Linked DNA regions of Notamacropus eugenii. The protein of the gene in region 2 purifies or fractionates together with the protein of the main gene of each other region. This does not show direct contact. Links are inferred from orthologs where the notes say so. Each region holds a gene or a part of one and is shown on either strand. Other genes may lie near its edges.

Region 1 (7,946 bases), on a different chromosome or scaffold from region 2:
GTACTCTGCCCTTAGTTATAATCAATAAATGCTGTCCAATGACCCTAAAGACTACTGGCAAATAAAATCACACTTCATGGGAAAAAGATGAATGCTGAAAGCTGTTTCTCAGGGTTGTTTTTTTTAAATAGTCAATAACTCATCTAGGCCAACAAATGATTTTTCAACCCTTAGAAGTTTTGGATCATTTCAGTTTTTAATGACCCCTCTTAGCTTTCTTTTCTGATTTATTAGGCTCAGTGCAGAACCTGCTTTTCTTTTCTCTCCACACTCCTTCACTGGAAGACCTAATCAGCTCCCATGGGCTCCATTACCATCTCTATGCAGGTGCCATTCAACCACACTAGACATTTCAAACTGAATGCCCATAGGCATCTCAAATTCAACATACCCAAAACAAAATTCATTCTTTCTCTCTTTTTCTCTCAATCCACCTCTCTTACAAACTGCCCTATTATTGTTAAGGGTACAACCAGTCATCTAGTCACCTAGGTTCAAGACCACAGTGTCATCTTCAACTCACTTTCAATTATCCCATCTCTCCAAATCAGTAGCCAAAACTTATCACCTCTGTCTCCGCAAGGCTCCTATACATCCTTCCTTCTCTCCCTTCACACCTCCATCCCCACTCCCACCCCTCCATTCAAGTTCCCTATCACCTCTTACCTAATTTGTTATCCTTACTTCAAATCTTTCCCTAATTCAATCTCTCCTCCACACACCCATCAAAATAATTTTCTAAAGGACAGGTATGACAATGTCACCCCACATTCCCTTACTCAATAAGTTCCAGCAGTTCCCTATTATCTCCAGGATCAAATATCAATTCCTCTGGCATTCATATCTCTTCACAACCTTCTGTCCTTCCAATCTTTTATGTGTTAATCCCCTGCTTGCACTCTTATCCAGACATACTGGCCTACCTGCTGTTCTGCACACAAGGTGTTCCACCTTTCATCTTCATTTCCCTTCTTTGTGGCTTCGAATAAAAAGGTGAGTTGTCCTCTGTACCTCGTATGAACTCCCTCCTCACCTCAACTCAAATGTTACCTTAACCATGAAGCCTTTTCCTGATCCTTCCAGCTGGTAGAAACTTCCTTCCCTTCTATTCATTTTGTGTATATATATATACAAACATATATGTATATGCTTATATATGGACATGTCTCCTCCATTAAAACATACATTCTTTGAGGGCTGGGACTGTTTCAAATTTGTCTGTGCATCCCCAACCTTTAGCACAGTGCCTGGCACACGGTAGGGACGGTTTAGTGAATGACTGACAGGTTAAGTGACTTGCCTTGGGTCACCACAGCTTAAATATTTGCATTAGAGATAACTCATGACCTGGGAAAAAAGAGAGACTGAGAAAGAGACAGAGAGAAGGAGGGAGATAGAAAAAGAAAGGGGAAGAAAAGAAAGAGAGAAGAGACAGACAAGCGAGAGAGGGGAGGGAAAGACAGAGGAACGGAGGAAGAGGAGACAGAAAGAGACATGGAGAAAATAGAGAAAGAGACAGAGAGAGACAGAGGAGGGAGAGACAGGCAAGAAAGGGAAAAAAACAGAGACAGACTGGACGCGAGTGGAAGGGGAGAGATAGACAAGACAATCATAAACAGACAGCCAAAAGACAGAGAGCCCAGGAAGGTGAAGAGAAAGGAGAGAGAGAACAGAGACAGGAGAGATGAAAGACAGGAAACAGAGAAGGGGGAGAGACAGACAAGGGACAGGAAAAGAGAGATAAGACAGAGAGAGGGTGGATCGCAGTAAAGTGTGAGGGAGGACATCAAATTGCACAGCAATAAGAAGTGAGAGGGAGGCGAGAACATTGGTGCAGCCAGGGCAGACAGCTGTCTTCCAGAAGCCTGGCTGTAAGAGGGAGCTGTACAGACGGAAGACGCAGAGGGGAAGGCACCCACCACCCACCTCCAAAGGAAGCAAAGGGAAGCAGGAAGAGGCGCACGCGCACTCACGAGCCAGGGCCCAGCTGAGCACGCCACGCCCCCCGCCTAAGCAGTCAGTCGGTTAAGGGCAAGGCAGGACAGCGCCGGGCACAGCCGGGCAAGGCCAGGGTCAGCCTCAGAGAAGCAGTAGGGTGGCCCGCGCAGCTTCTCAAACGGGGGTGCTCCCGTGGCTCCGCTCCATCCCGCCCCAACGTATCCGGCTCCGAGCCTCCCCAGCCCCCGGAGGAGTCACAACTGACGCACTCCTCGTCCCTCCCCCGCTTCCTTCCCACCTACCTGGCTGCTGCGGGCGGATCGTTCCCGCCCACAGCCGAACTGGATCTGGTGGGGGGGGGGAAGGAAAGGAGGAGGATAAGGGAAAAGACCCACCCCGATCCGCTCCCGGGCCCCGGCGCCCAAGAGCCTCTGCCACTGGCGCGGGCACGTGACCCCGCCCTCCGTTCCTCCCACGGGTGTAGCCCCGCCCCCTCTGCGTAACCTCACCGACCCGACGCAGAAACCTACAGCGCAGGCGCACTCCGCTGATAATTCCGGCGAGCTGCAGCTGGGACCTGGCTGGTCGGAGGTGCGTCGCTGTTGTTAGGGATTGGTAGGTGGTGTAGCTTCCGGACTCGAAGGTGAGAGGAGTACGCCTGGAGTGGCCGAGGGATAGCTAGGCCCAGGGTTAGCCACCCCTTCCTCTCCCTGCCGTGCTGCCTTCCTCAGGGGCTGCGGAGCGAAGGCACGGCCTTGCCCCCCCTCCCCCAGCCCGCGGAGGATCTGGAGTCCTCGGCGTGTTGGGTGCCCAGAGCAGGACCCGGGAATGTGAATAATAATAGTAATTTACTAAGAGCCGATTTTTACGTAGCTCTTTAAGGTTTGTCAAGCCCTTTACGTAACAACGCTTTTCATTTGTTGTCTCACTTCAAGCAGCCTTCTCAGGCTGCCGTGAACCCTTCCCCCATCCCCTTTTATTGTGACTTAGATTGATTGCATCTCGGCCTGGACTGTCTATCTATTACCGGTCCCAAGCTCGGACCCTAAAACACATCCAGGTCCTCATCCCCGGGTTTCTGTAGGCGTCCAAGTGCCAGCAAATACTGGGTTGGATGTGGTCCTGGATTATTTTTTTTTAAAAAGCTAGAATACCCAACTATCCCTAATAGTTAATTTTTTTTCCTATTCACTATGTCCCAGCCTTTACTAGAATGAGTATTTAGAATTTTGTTGTATTCCATATATTTAATGTGTGCAATTTGGTGAACAAAATTACACTTGATGATAGGTTAAATTTTAAGGGAAAGTCAATGATGACAACTGAGCTATATTTTCTTTGTAAATATGCTTTATCGTCTTTGAATCAGAAGTGTTGAAAATGACTTTTGTGGGTTTATGTAGTAATATCATCATTTTCATTATCCTTATGTTTCTTTTAGTGAAATGTTAAAATTGATTATTGATTGATTTTTTTTTTAAATTTTAGTTCACTTCGTCCCTTTTGTTGACATCATTGACAGCATTTGACACTTGTAACTTGGAGAAAATGGTGAATGTCTTGAAAGGCGTACTTATAGAATGGTTAGTACTTTTTCACTTATGAGTGTTGATTTTCTCACTTACTTTTTTTTGTTCCTACGAAGCCCATTAGTTTCCTCATTTATAAAATTAGATGATCTGACTCAGTGATAATCTAAGGCCACCTCCTGCTCCTTGAGATTTTATGATTCTAAGTCCCAGTGAAGCTTTTCCTGATTATTCCAGGCCTTTTTGGTTTTCCTTTTCCTTTGAACCACCATTGAACTTAGATGTTCTACCCTCTGGTTTGGTACTTAGAATCACACATTCTTAGAGGATGTAGGACTACCAGTTGACACTTTTCCTTCTCCTCTGCTAACTTCTGACTCTTTGAGGAACTGTGCTCTATAGTTCTCTCCACTTAACAGCAACCACCAAGTTCAAGGCACTGTGGGGACACTGGTGTACATTAAGTAGTTCAAAGCAAAATAGAGTAGCCTCATGATTGACTGATGTTAGTTTACATAGAGAAATAAAAGATACAATTGGATGTCTTTTTTTAACTTGGGCTATTTATACCTCTTTTTGGAGTGTCTTGCAAGTTTATGTTGATGCGTGGGTAATTGACCTGATTATATATTCAGTAAGTCATAATTCACATTACATGTGGGGATGTTCTCTAATCAACTTGATGCATTTTACAGGATGTTGAGAGTCTTGAATTTGGATTGTGCCTTTCTCTGAAGAGCATAGACACTTCCCTGTATATTCTTTAGGTCTCTTTTTAAAGACTAGTGATTGTTTCATGGGTTGAGGATAAATACAGGCTTTGTTTTTTAAACAGCAGTGGAGATTAATTGTTTGGCACTAGAATGTTTCTAGTGGTGTCACTACCCTAGAACACTACCACTATAGCTATTCATTCTCTTCTCTGTAAATGGGAGTAGTAGTTGTTTCAGTTTTCTTTCTCTTACTTCCCATTTGGGATTTTCTTGGCAAAGATACTGGAGTGGTTTGTCATTTTCCTCCTCTAGCTCATTTTACAGATGAGGAAACTGAGTTAAGTGATTTGCTCAGGGTCACACAGCTACTAAGTGTCCGAGGCAGAATTTGAACTCAAGAAGATGAGTCTTCCCAACTTCAGGCCCATCACTCTATCCACTGTGGCATCTAGTTATCCCTAAATGGCAGTAGATGTTTTAAATGCTATTGAATATGCTAGCCTACCTTCTGGAAGATATGATAAAAGTTCTAAACAAAAGCTCATCATACCTTAAAATTCATCAAATGAACTTAAATAGAGTTTTAAGTTTTAAAAAGTTCTCTTCTTACAACAGCCTGTTAGGGCAGGCATTTCAGCTACTACCCCATTTTACAAAAGAGGAAATTAACTTGCCCAAGGGTACACAGCTAGTAAATATTAGAAGTAGGATTTGAACCCACATCTTCTTGATTAGTGGTCTTTCAGTTGTACTGTTTGCCCTTGAATGGAAGCTTTAAAAAAAAAAAAAAGATACAAGTGGCACAGACGTAACATATTAATGCAGATATCTTGATTATGCAAATACTTTACTCAACTTATTTCTCAGAAGCAAAGAACACTATTCAATTCAAAGTATTCAAGTAACTTTCTGAGGTGAGAAATAGAAAATGCTGGACAGTTAAAGGATCCCAATATTTTCTTAAAGGTTGAGAGATCAGCAATACATTGAGAAAATTATGAAAGGAGCTTCTCTGTGCCTACACACTTTCTAGTTTTAGCTTTTTTGGTGTAGTTGCTCTAGATGATCATCTCGGAAAAAAGGCTTATACTTCCTGTGTACACATCCTCATCAGCACCCACTACAGTCTAGTTCCCATCATTCAACAAAAACTTTAATCCTCACCACTCTACTGAAACTGTTCTCCCCAGAGCCACCAGTAAGTTCCCAGTTGATAAATCCAATAGTTGTTTCTTAATCCTCATCCTTGACCTTTCTACAGCATTTGACAAGGCTCATCACCCCCATCCTTCTTGATATTATTATCCCTCTTGACTCCTTTGATACTGTTTTGTCCTGCTTTTTCTCCTACCTTTTTGGGTTTTCCTTTTGTCTCTTTCCCTGGGTGTTCTTCTCACCTGGCAATATGAATTTCTCCTAATGTTATGTCATTTCTCCTCTTCTAACCTTGTATTCTATTCCTGTTGGTACTTATTTCTGTGACTTCAGTTACTATCCCAGATGACTTTCAGTTGTTTCCAGCTGCAACCCTGCATTTCAAACTGCTCTCTGTACGTATCCACTGGTGTGCTGTGCTCAACTCAACAGCATGCCTCAACTGACCTCATTTTAGTCCTCTTTCCTTTCCTAAGTTTCCTTTTTCTGTTTATCCTCCTATCAGTCATTTAAGCCCTTAACTTCGGAGTCATCTGTGTTTTCATTCTGTCATTCCCCATTATCTAGTCAGTTGCCAAGTCCTATTAATTCTATTTCTACAACATTTCACATCCATCCCTTTTTCTTTTCTACCAACTCCTATTCTCACCTGGAATATTGTGGCCCCTTCCAACTGGTCTCCCTGTCTCCAGTTTCTCCCCTCCATTCCATCCTTCATCCTACTGGGAAATCAATCTTCCTAATGCATAGATCAGATCTTGTCACTCCTTTGCTCAAAAAATCTTCACTGATTACATCTTACCTGTGGAATAAAATGCAAATACCTTTACTTGGCATCTCCATAACTAGATTTTATCCTGGCTTTCTAGTCTTTTTTTTGCACACTATATCTCTTCATAAATTTTACATTCTGCCCATATTGGAGTCCTTGTTTCTTGGGCTTTGCTTACTCTGTTCAACCTCTGTTGAATACTCACTTTTGAAACCTGGAATGAACTTTAGCTCCACAGATTAAAATCCTTTTCAAAACAAAGATCAGGTGCCACCTCCAGGCTGCATTCCTTGGTTTTTTCTTCCCTAATGCTAGACGATTCCTTCACCACAAATTTCTCGTACTCTTTTAACTATCATATGTGTGTGTGTGTGTGTGTGTGTGTGTGTGTGTGTATCTCCTATATATATGTATATATCCTATATACTTCTAAATATTTCTGTTCTGACATAGTGTCGCATTGTGTATGTCTTCTCCATGTACACATTTGAGAACAGGGAGTGTTTTTTTTTTTTCCATTTGTGTATCGCCCAGTATTATTGCAGTGCCACACTGGGCACATGATAAAAGTTTATTGAGTTGAATTTGCTCAGATGAGAAAATGTATCGATAAGAGCCCACATGCCCAATTAATTCCAAGCACTAATGTACTTTGGTGAATCTGTTATTATTGAGGCTAAAAAATAATATCTGTGAAAATACATTTTAATAGTTAAAAAGAATACAATGTATATATGTAATGTTACCAGAGCTACCAACATGTTATACTAGTTTGCATTTTGATATTTTTTTTGTATTCTCAGTTTGTCCTCAACCCTATGCCTAGTTTTTTTTATCATAGATTTAGAACTACACTTTACCAATCCCTCAAGATGCTGACATAGTATCTCATGCTGTGTTGCCAAGTTCACCTGAGGCTTTGTAAGTTCTAAGTGCCTTTTTAAAAAAAATTTCGAAAACTATTTTGAGAACTGAGAAAAATTATAAGAGTGGAAGAATGTGCACCAAGGTTAAAACCCCAGGAGAATAAAACTGAGGCTTTTCAACATCTTTTGAGAGATAGGAATTGATAGGAAGAGACAAATAAAAGAACAACTAAGTTTCAAAGCCCTAAACATAGACTTTTCTTCTGTAACTGTCCCTAGCTGAGAATCTCATTTGGATTCTTACTGTTTCCTACCATCTCCCCATTACCCATCATGTGCCCCCTTTTTTTCTTTATATCCCTTCTTTTAAAGCAAAGGCAGGAAGAGTTTTTGACTCAGATTTTTCTCTAATTGGGTGAAGGCAAATAAATGGAATAATATTAGATAAACTTGAAATATGTCCTCGCTACTTATGTTCCTCCCTACAAAACTGTCTAGCAACTACGTTGTTAAACCTGTTCCCTTGACTTAAGCATTATTTCCACTTGGAGTATTAGAAATACATGTCTCAATCAATATTCCAAGTCCCCTTTTGTTGAGTGTGCTTCGTAAATTACATAGCTTAACTCACCTAGTTTTGTTTTTTATGAATTGTATTTTGTGCTCAGTACTAGCACCTTTTATTCAGACTTACTTGTTTTCAGCAATGGATTTTCATTCTACTTTCCTCTTGCCAAAATTTGCAATTTCAGGAACTGAAAAGTGAAATCTTCTAAGTAGCACAGTGTTTCAAATAAGAACAATAGCTGGTTATATTTTTATAGTTCCCACCACTTGTGACCTTGACAATTTGGGGTTAATACAATTAAAAGTATCATTTGTTTTAAACGAAATGTTTAGTGAATAGTACTGTCTAGTTACATAGTAAAATAAATTATCTAGTGAGCTTCCCCTGTGCTGAGAGATGTTGTAG
Region 2 (7,946 bases):
TGAATCATATCATTACTAAGCATCAAAGGTTAGAAAGTAGAGCTTGTGTTTGGAGAATAGCTGACACATCAAACAGAAGAATCAAAATTTCATCAAAAAATGTGGACCTGAGGAAGACATGTTCATAGAATTTGCAGGTGATACCAATCTGAGATAGAGAATTATTATTACAAACCATGAAACAGCTTCACAAAAAGCCTGCTAGGTTGGAACAGGCTGAAATCAACAAGATGAATTGAGGGGGAGGGGCTGGGTTCTGATTTGACCCTTATCAATAACTCTTCAATTGAGAGTCTTGTCAATTTGACACAGTACGTGTCAAAGGCCTGATTTTGCCAGCTCCAAGGCTGGTTCTCTTATGTCAAGCATCCTCTGAAGAGGAAACTTAGCAACAACAAAGACCTTCATTTAAGGTTGAAGAAGATACCTAGAACAAGTAAAGGCCAGAGGGGGCACCTGCCTTAAAAGTTCACCTGCAAAAGACCAAAACGTGTATTTGGGAAGGGGACAAGGAAGAAAGGGAGTAAAAAGGGAAGGGGAAAACGATCTTCCAAGATGGGACAAATTCCGTATAAACCAACAAGTTACTAAAAAAAAAAATGAATGCAATCTTAGGCTGAATTTTTAGAAGCACTATACAGCTCAGAGCTAAAACTAGTTATTTTGGGGCTTAGGGCAATCATGACAAACTGTAATTGGAACAAGTGGAATGGGATATACCTTCAGCTGGGTTGGGGGAAAGCAAGGCAATTTCTCCATGGAAATAAAAGGAATCCTGGATCCTTATCCTGACTTCCCCTCTCTCTCTCTCCATTTGATAGCTTCTTGTTTGACTAATTCTTCTTCCTAAAAAGTTGCTAAATTCAGATGTTTCTATATTGTTTAAGTACTGAAATTTTACCTTGTAAATGCAAATTCAGTTCCCTGGGACAAAGCCCTTGTTGTTCTACCCTAGATATGACTCTGATACAAAGCACCTGAATAAATCTCAGTGTGATCTGTGCTGTCAGATATTTCATAGAATACAAAATGCAGCCTTATGCATATCATTATTTTAAGACACACACTATAGTGCAACCAAGATGGCAAAAGATCTGGAAACAATGCTGTAAGAAAACCAGTTTAAAGAAGTAAAGAGGCATGTTTTGGCTTAAATATAATAATGTCATCAAAAACTGAATAAAACTGCTTTATAATAAGATCATAAATTTGGAACTGGAAGGGACCCCAGGGGATACTGAATTCAACATCCTTATATTAAAGATGAGGAAACTGAGGCTGAGAAGTTAAGTGAATTAGCTGCCCAGGATCATAAGGCTAATAACTGTTGGAGACATGATTCCAACAGAGGTTCCTGACTTTAAGACCTGCACTATCCACTGTACTACCTGGATGCCTCCGTAGTAACAAGGGGAGAGAGCTGTCAAATAAGCTTCCCTTTGCTAGAAGTGTTCAAATAGACAATGGATGCCTTTTATAGAAAAGTGATTTCTGCATCCGGTAGAAAGTCAGATGATGGCCTGAAGAAAGTTCATTTCAATTTTAGGATCCTATGCTGGGGATATGCTGGTAAATGTTTAATAACCTGACCTCTGGGAAACACACACACACACACACACACACACACACAACCAGCTTGTATGCATGACACAGTTTTAATTTTAATCTATGTTATTAACATTTTATTCATCACTTTTCAAGTCTAGACAATCAAGAAAATATTACATCAAGCTCTTTGTAATATTTACTGATTTTCAATGTGTAAATGATAACAGTAAAAATTTAATAATTTGTTCTCTGGCTCCAGCACACCCCTGTCTGTGAGCTGAACTCTTTGGTTTTTTATGTAAGTAGGCAGTTAAGATTGCAGATCATCAAAACTCCAAAATTAATTTAAATCATTCAGCCTGATGAACTATTCAGAGGGCACCAATATAGACATAAATATTTTATACTCTCAAGGAAGTTATACCCTTCTGGGGGATATAGAGTAAATAAAAGATAATCTGAGAAGGAAAAGTTTTTTGTGGGCAGTAGCAACTGAGCTGACCCTTGAAGGAAGCTAGACATTCTAAGAGGTAGGGTTTAGGATAAAGATCAGTTCAGCTGTGCAGGCTAGCCAGAGGCACTGAGACAGGAGACAAAATATTAAACTTGGGGAACTGCAAGTAACCTTGTTTGGCTCAGAAAAGGCAAAAAAGGTGGTTGAAGCCACACTAAGACAGATTTCAAATGTCAAACTGAGGAGTATAAATTGTGTGCTAGAGGTTAAAGAGAGGGACTAAGGCAGGAATAGGGAACTTGTGGCCTTTAAGGTCCTTGGAGAGAGTGGCCTTTTGACCGAGTCCAGGTTTTACAGAACCAATCCTTTTATGAAGGGTATTTGTTCTGTGAAATTTGGATTCAAAAGGCTGAACACAAGGACCTAGAGTGCTACATATGGCCTTGAGGCAGAAGGTCCCCCACCTTGGACTAAAGCTTCAACAGGGTCAGACCTCTGCTTTAAGATTGTTTTGGGAGCTATGAGGAAGAAGGTTGGAGAGGGGAAAGTCTGAAATGAGGGAGACCAATTAGGAGAACTTCTTGCCATTTTTATTAATAACTCAGGAGAAAGTTGATAAAGTCTAGAGTTCGAGTGGGGAAGAGAAGGCTACAACTGCAAGAATCTCGTGGAGGTGAAATTAACAGCCCCAGGCAATTGACTGGATTTGGGGGCTGGGTTTAAGAGAAAGTGTGACTGGTCAATTACGATTGCAAGCCTGGGTGACTAGAAGGGATGGTGGGAGAGTTTTAGAACCCAGAATGTACCTCAGCAACCACCTAGTTCCATCTCATTTTGGACACAAAAAATTAGAGAGAAAGTAAGTTACTTCTCCCAAGCTTCCAGCTAGCTTAGGGAAGACTAAGAAGTCAGGTTTTCTAGCTCTTAGTGTTCTACTGTGCCATGCTACCTCCTTCCATCTGAGACATTTTACAGCTTAATCTGAGGAATTTAGATTGGTGAAGAAAATTTAAAATTTTAAACTATGAAGCAAATAATTCTTATAGGATATTTTATTGCTACAAGTAAAGGTGTGGTCCTGCATAAAGGCAAAAGGTAGGGACTAGAACCTCTCTCTCAAGGGGCATCCAGCCCTCCGACTGGGCAGCCATTCTCTCTCAGGTAGTTTCCTCTCCTCTCCTCTGGTGTTCTGCTCAGGGGGAGGTAAACTCCATGGACAAAAGCTGCCTTTTTTCCTTTGGGTTTACTGGCTAGATTTCTTGCTCAAAGATCAAGCCTTTAACCCAATTCACGCTGGATCTCATAGAATGGACAAGACCCCACCCACCTAGCACAGAGTGGATGTAATAACTAAATAGTAATTATTTCTCTTTTACCCAGGAACCCTGAGGGTCTTCCCCTCCCATTTTTTTTTTTTTTTTTTTTTTATTAAAGGGGTCATCCCTTGAGTAACTTAAAGAAGTCTATTCATTGAATGGGTGTATCTCACTCAAAGTAAGATTGTGTAAGACCTTAGCCTAAAATGGCCAAGGTCTCACATTGCATCCTGGGTCATCTCCAGTCATCCTGATGAATAATATCTGGTTACTGCACCCAGATGGCTCAGGAGAAGGAAGTGAGGCTGATGACCTTGTACAGCCCTCCCTCACTCAAATCAAAGTCAACTGCAAGTCATGTCATCATCTTGATGTCATAGTCCTCTTCCAGAATGAAGGACAAACACAAGTGCTAATGAGAAAAGGAAGGGCTAGAAGTAGCTAGAAAGTAGAATTGAAGATTTAAAGTTGGAAAGGACCCCAAGGTCATCAAAAGTCCAATTCCTTATCTTTACAGATAAGGAAACTGGAGCCCCAAAAAGTTAAATAATTTCCCAAGGTCACACAGGTACCCAATAACACAACTACTATTCAAACCTAGGTCTTCTGTGCCCCTTCCACTGTACCTGAAAAAAAAAAAAAACAGCAGAGCACTAAGATATGATTCAAACTTATTCTCTTCTGTTAAATGACAGCTGACTTTATTAATGTCATGAAAGCCGAACAAAGTGAAAATTATATATGTTATAAGGGAAAATATTTCCATGACAACGGACAATGGATCAAAGTAGTGAGTTGTTTAAAGGAAAAAACAGGATAGCTGCAAAAGCAAAACTTAGAGACTCAAAATAGTATTTTGGGGGAGGAAAAAAACCCAAACCAGAAAATAGAGTCCCACCGTCTCTGGGATGAGCAATGCTTAGTGTTTGGGAGTATCTGCAGCTCAGGGATCAAAATAAGTAAAAAGATTTTATGCTTATTTTAAAAAATTGTATTATCACAAACAGGTTTCCACATCACACCCTAAATAAACATAAACATCACCACTCTAGGCCTACAGCCTGTCAGGAAGCGGTTTTGGTTAACGATCGGATTTCAACTGGACTTATAATTTTGTCAATGTAGGGGGCTCCCTTTACCAACACAACTGTTCTGGAACTTGTAGTTTGAGAGAGCTGCCCCAAGCACGGACACACGAAATGACTGGCCCCGGTCACAGAGGCAGTCATGTGTGTCGGAGGGGACAGCTGAATCCAAGCTATACTAATTCTGCTGACAATCACGATTTACGTTGGAGAGGAACCTCAAGAATACAACTCCATCTCAATCAACAAGCCTGAAAGTAAAGGTCTACTTTTGTGCCAGACAGGCTGAAGATACACAGAAAGGGAAACGCGTTCCCATAAAAGCATCTGTGAAATGTGTTTGCAGACGAGCGTACACAAACGCGTACGTGTGAAGCTGGACCTCGTACTTACAGGATACAGTATGATACAAAGCATACCAAGAGATACAAAAGAGATACAAAGTAAACACGCCGCTCCAAAAAGGAAGCAGAAAGGAAAGGCTGGGAAGGCAGGCGGCAGCCCGGACACCGGGGCCGGGCCTCGGAAGAAGCCGGGAGCCCAGGAGGTGAGGGCGGAAGGCCTGAGGAAGGCCGCTTCCCGTGCAGGATCCCGGGGGGCCGCCAGGCTCGCCCCTCCGCCCCACAACCCCCCTTTTCACTCGCGTTGGGAGGAAGAGACAGACGAGGGAGAGCGAAACTCGCCTTTTTAATAGCGACGATCTGGCCGGTGTTCTTGTCCCGGGCTTTGTACACCGTGGCGAACTGCAAGGGAAGAGGGCACACGGTGACTTTCTGCACGCACTGCGGAGGGGGAGGGGAGGGCACGGGGAAGGGCCGGCAGGACCGCGGCCGCACACACGGGGGCCTAGCCGGCGGCCCGGCCCCCCGGCCACCCGCTCCCGAGCCGCCACGCCACGGACGGCGGACGCCCCGAGTGTACCCACCTGTCCCTCCCCGAGGAAGTCGAGCTTCTCGTAGCGCTTCGCTCGTGACTTCACGTCCAACGCCATTGACGCTCGCGCGGAGCCCGGGAAGGGGAGGGGGGAGAGGGAGTTTAAAGCGACCTCAGCCGGCCCAACAGTCACTTCCGTCCTTCGGTTTCCCCCCCAGATTCTTAAAGCATTCAGCCCTCGACTTCCGCGATGGGCGGAGCGATGGTGGATCCCACCCTCTGATTGGGCGTCAGCTACTCCCGCCCCCGCTAGGAAGCCACCAAGCGATTGCTTCCGGGCGTGTGTCCAGCGAATCCCCGCCTCCCGCGGCCCTAGCAACCGCCGTGGCTTCTCTAGTGACTCGGCCTTGTCGCCCCGCCCATCGCCGGAAGTGAAGATGACCCGACGACATGGCCCGGGAGACCGCCGGGGCGGCCACTTGTCACTCGGTTCTGGGCTGGAGCGAGCCGAGAGGACGCGCGGGCAGAGGGCCGGAGCAGCCGCCTCTCCTGGCAGAGTTCGAGCCTTTCTTGGCCGCCGGCTCCACGGGCCGCGTGGCGACCCTTCCCAGCGTGGAGCCTGGCTCGGAGGGGGGCGCCACGCTTGGCCCTGGCGCCCCGCAGCAACAGCTCCAGCCGAGTTCGTGCAGCCTCCTCGCACCCTAGCTTACGCTGGAGGAAACAGACCCAGGCGTCCGCTGTCCACGTGTCAGACAGCATTCCCACCCTGGCCTCTCGGGTCCTGATGTCTGGGGGGCGCGGGGTGGGGCGGGGAGGGACTCCTAAAACTAAGTCTGAGCGCGGGCTGTGCCGGCGGGACCTCGCTTCTTCGGGGTTCTGCTGGTGAGCCACCTGGGCAGTTCCTCACCCTCGTAAACCCATAACCCTACGATTTCAGTGTCTTGACAGCTCCTTCCATTATGTTAGGACGGTGGGGGTAGGGTGGGGAAGGGAGGGAAGAGAAAGCTAAATTACTGAGGGAGCAAAACGAAGGCGCTAGAAGGGTAAGAGCCATAAACAGTCAGGAGAGATGGTAAGAGGGTGAATGAGGTGGCTGGGTGAAGAGAAGAGGATGAGAGGAAAATTAAAGACTTTTCCCCTAGATGAAGGCGAAGATGAGGGAAGGCAGTAAATTACTGGGAATGAGGATGCTGGAGGGATGTGGCATCGAGATTCACGAGGGACTTCACACACGTCACTTGAGATTCACGATTGAAGCACTACAGGTAATGTGACATCCACTTGATCCGCAAAATGAAGCTTAGAAAAACTTTTTGCTCAGGGTCGTGCCAATAGTATGAGACAGGATTTGAACTCAGGCCTGATTCCAAGTGCAACGTTCCATCTACTGAGCCCCACTCTTGATAGAACCATTCCCCTCCACCCCCGTTGTTTTTGGATAAAAGAAATGCAAGGAGTGGAGTTCATGTTGCTAAGATCTAGACTTAGAGGTGGCTGCTTCCATAGAGAACACTATATTTACGTAGCCAACGGTTATGATGGCTGTTTTATGCTTGATCTGCATGTGTCCCAATCATTTCTGAAGAGGAAATGTAATTTGGAAAATCCTGGATAGCTATTGTGTGGTCCTCACCTGTTCTAAGCAGCACTAGGGCAACAGAGCTAGAGGGAGGAACGAGTACAGTGCCCTTAACATCTGTGATTTCGAGTAAAATTTTTATACTAGGCATTTTGAAGACTGCATGATATGGTGGGGAAAGTCTGAGACTAGGAACTAGAAGACCTGGGCTCAGATTCTGTCTGTCACATGATAGCTATGCAATAAGCCAGTCCTGCACTTAACCCCTGTTTTCTCCATAAAGTGGAGTTAAGGCAGTTTTGTGATCTTGAAAGAGCACTGAGTCAGAAAATCTAACCTCAGACCTGAGTTTTGCCACATACTAGGTGGAGGTTTAACTTCTCTAGGCTTCAGTTTTCTCATGTGTAAAAGGGGTTGTAAACCAGTGTTCTCTATGATCCTGTCCAACTCTAAATGATATTATGAAAAATAATTCTGTCAAGCAAGGTATTCTGATGGTGGGGAGAGGAAGTGGAGGGAAGAGTCATTAGAGGTCATCCCCCTCCCCAGCTGAAAGCAATCTATTAAATATTTAGAGGATTATAGGAAAGGTGTGTGACTATTTGAGAAAAGTACCACAGCCCTACTCCAATGGTGCTACATACTGTGCTAGATCCAGAAATGAATAGAAAAGCTAGACTACCTTTGGGAAAATGTGCAGGGCTCTAAATAAATTCAGTATTCTCCCTGAAACAAAAGACTCATCTTTTTAAAACCAATATTCTTCCAGTGGCGTTATATGGCTTGACTCATAAAATGCTACAGCCTCTGACGAACTGAAGCTACGGTTCAGGCAGGAGTCAGTGGAGACAACAGGATGGGCGTAATAAGCAGGCACATGATAAACAAGAATGACTCAGGAGAAACAGCATAAAGGAGACCATCCAAGAAGTGTGTGCCCATTTAAAAAAAAGGATAGGCTAATCACATAAGTTGGTGGATAACTGACGGACAATCTGAGTGTTCCCTCTGTACCCCTGCAATATCAAGAGATCTAGAGGAAGGTCCCCAGAATGTTGGGTGAATCCTCTACCCTAGATTTATGAGGAGAT

Evidence for each region.
Region 1: the proteins of CDK7 (region 2) and GTF2H5 purify together in Homo sapiens (affinity purification with mass spectrometry; 7 studies listed by BioGRID and IntAct, with this or other methods). This does not show direct contact. The link is inferred for Notamacropus eugenii from reciprocal best matches to the Homo sapiens genes CDK7 and GTF2H5.

The regions. Positions count from the first base shown.
Region 1 is NC_092873.1:251,846,023-251,853,968, forward strand, and holds the start of GTF2H5 (general transcription factor IIH subunit 5), read left to right. Parts: upstream 1-2,393; 5' UTR 2,394-2,529; exon of another isoform or gene 2,530-2,581; intron 2,582-3,426; 5' UTR 3,427-3,486; coding exon 3,487-3,521; intron 3,522-7,946. UniProt on the Homo sapiens protein: Component of the general transcription and DNA repair factor IIH (TFIIH) core complex, which is involved in general and transcription-coupled nucleotide excision repair (NER) of damaged DNA and, when complexed to CAK, in RNA transcription by RNA polymerase II.
Region 2 is NC_092875.1:474,387,989-474,395,934, forward strand, and holds the start of CDK7 (cyclin-dependent kinase 7), read right to left. Parts: upstream 5,395-7,946; coding exon 5,329-5,394; intron 5,321-5,328; coding exon of another isoform or gene 5,147-5,320; coding exon 5,087-5,146; intron 5,010-5,086; coding exon of another isoform or gene 4,750-5,009; intron 1-4,749. Other genes in the region: uncharacterized protein, read left to right, coding at 4,750-5,009, 5,098-5,320, 5,363-6,061. UniProt on the Homo sapiens protein: Serine/threonine kinase involved in cell cycle control and in RNA polymerase II-mediated RNA transcription. Cyclin-dependent kinases (CDKs) are activated by the binding to a cyclin and mediate the progression through the cell cycle.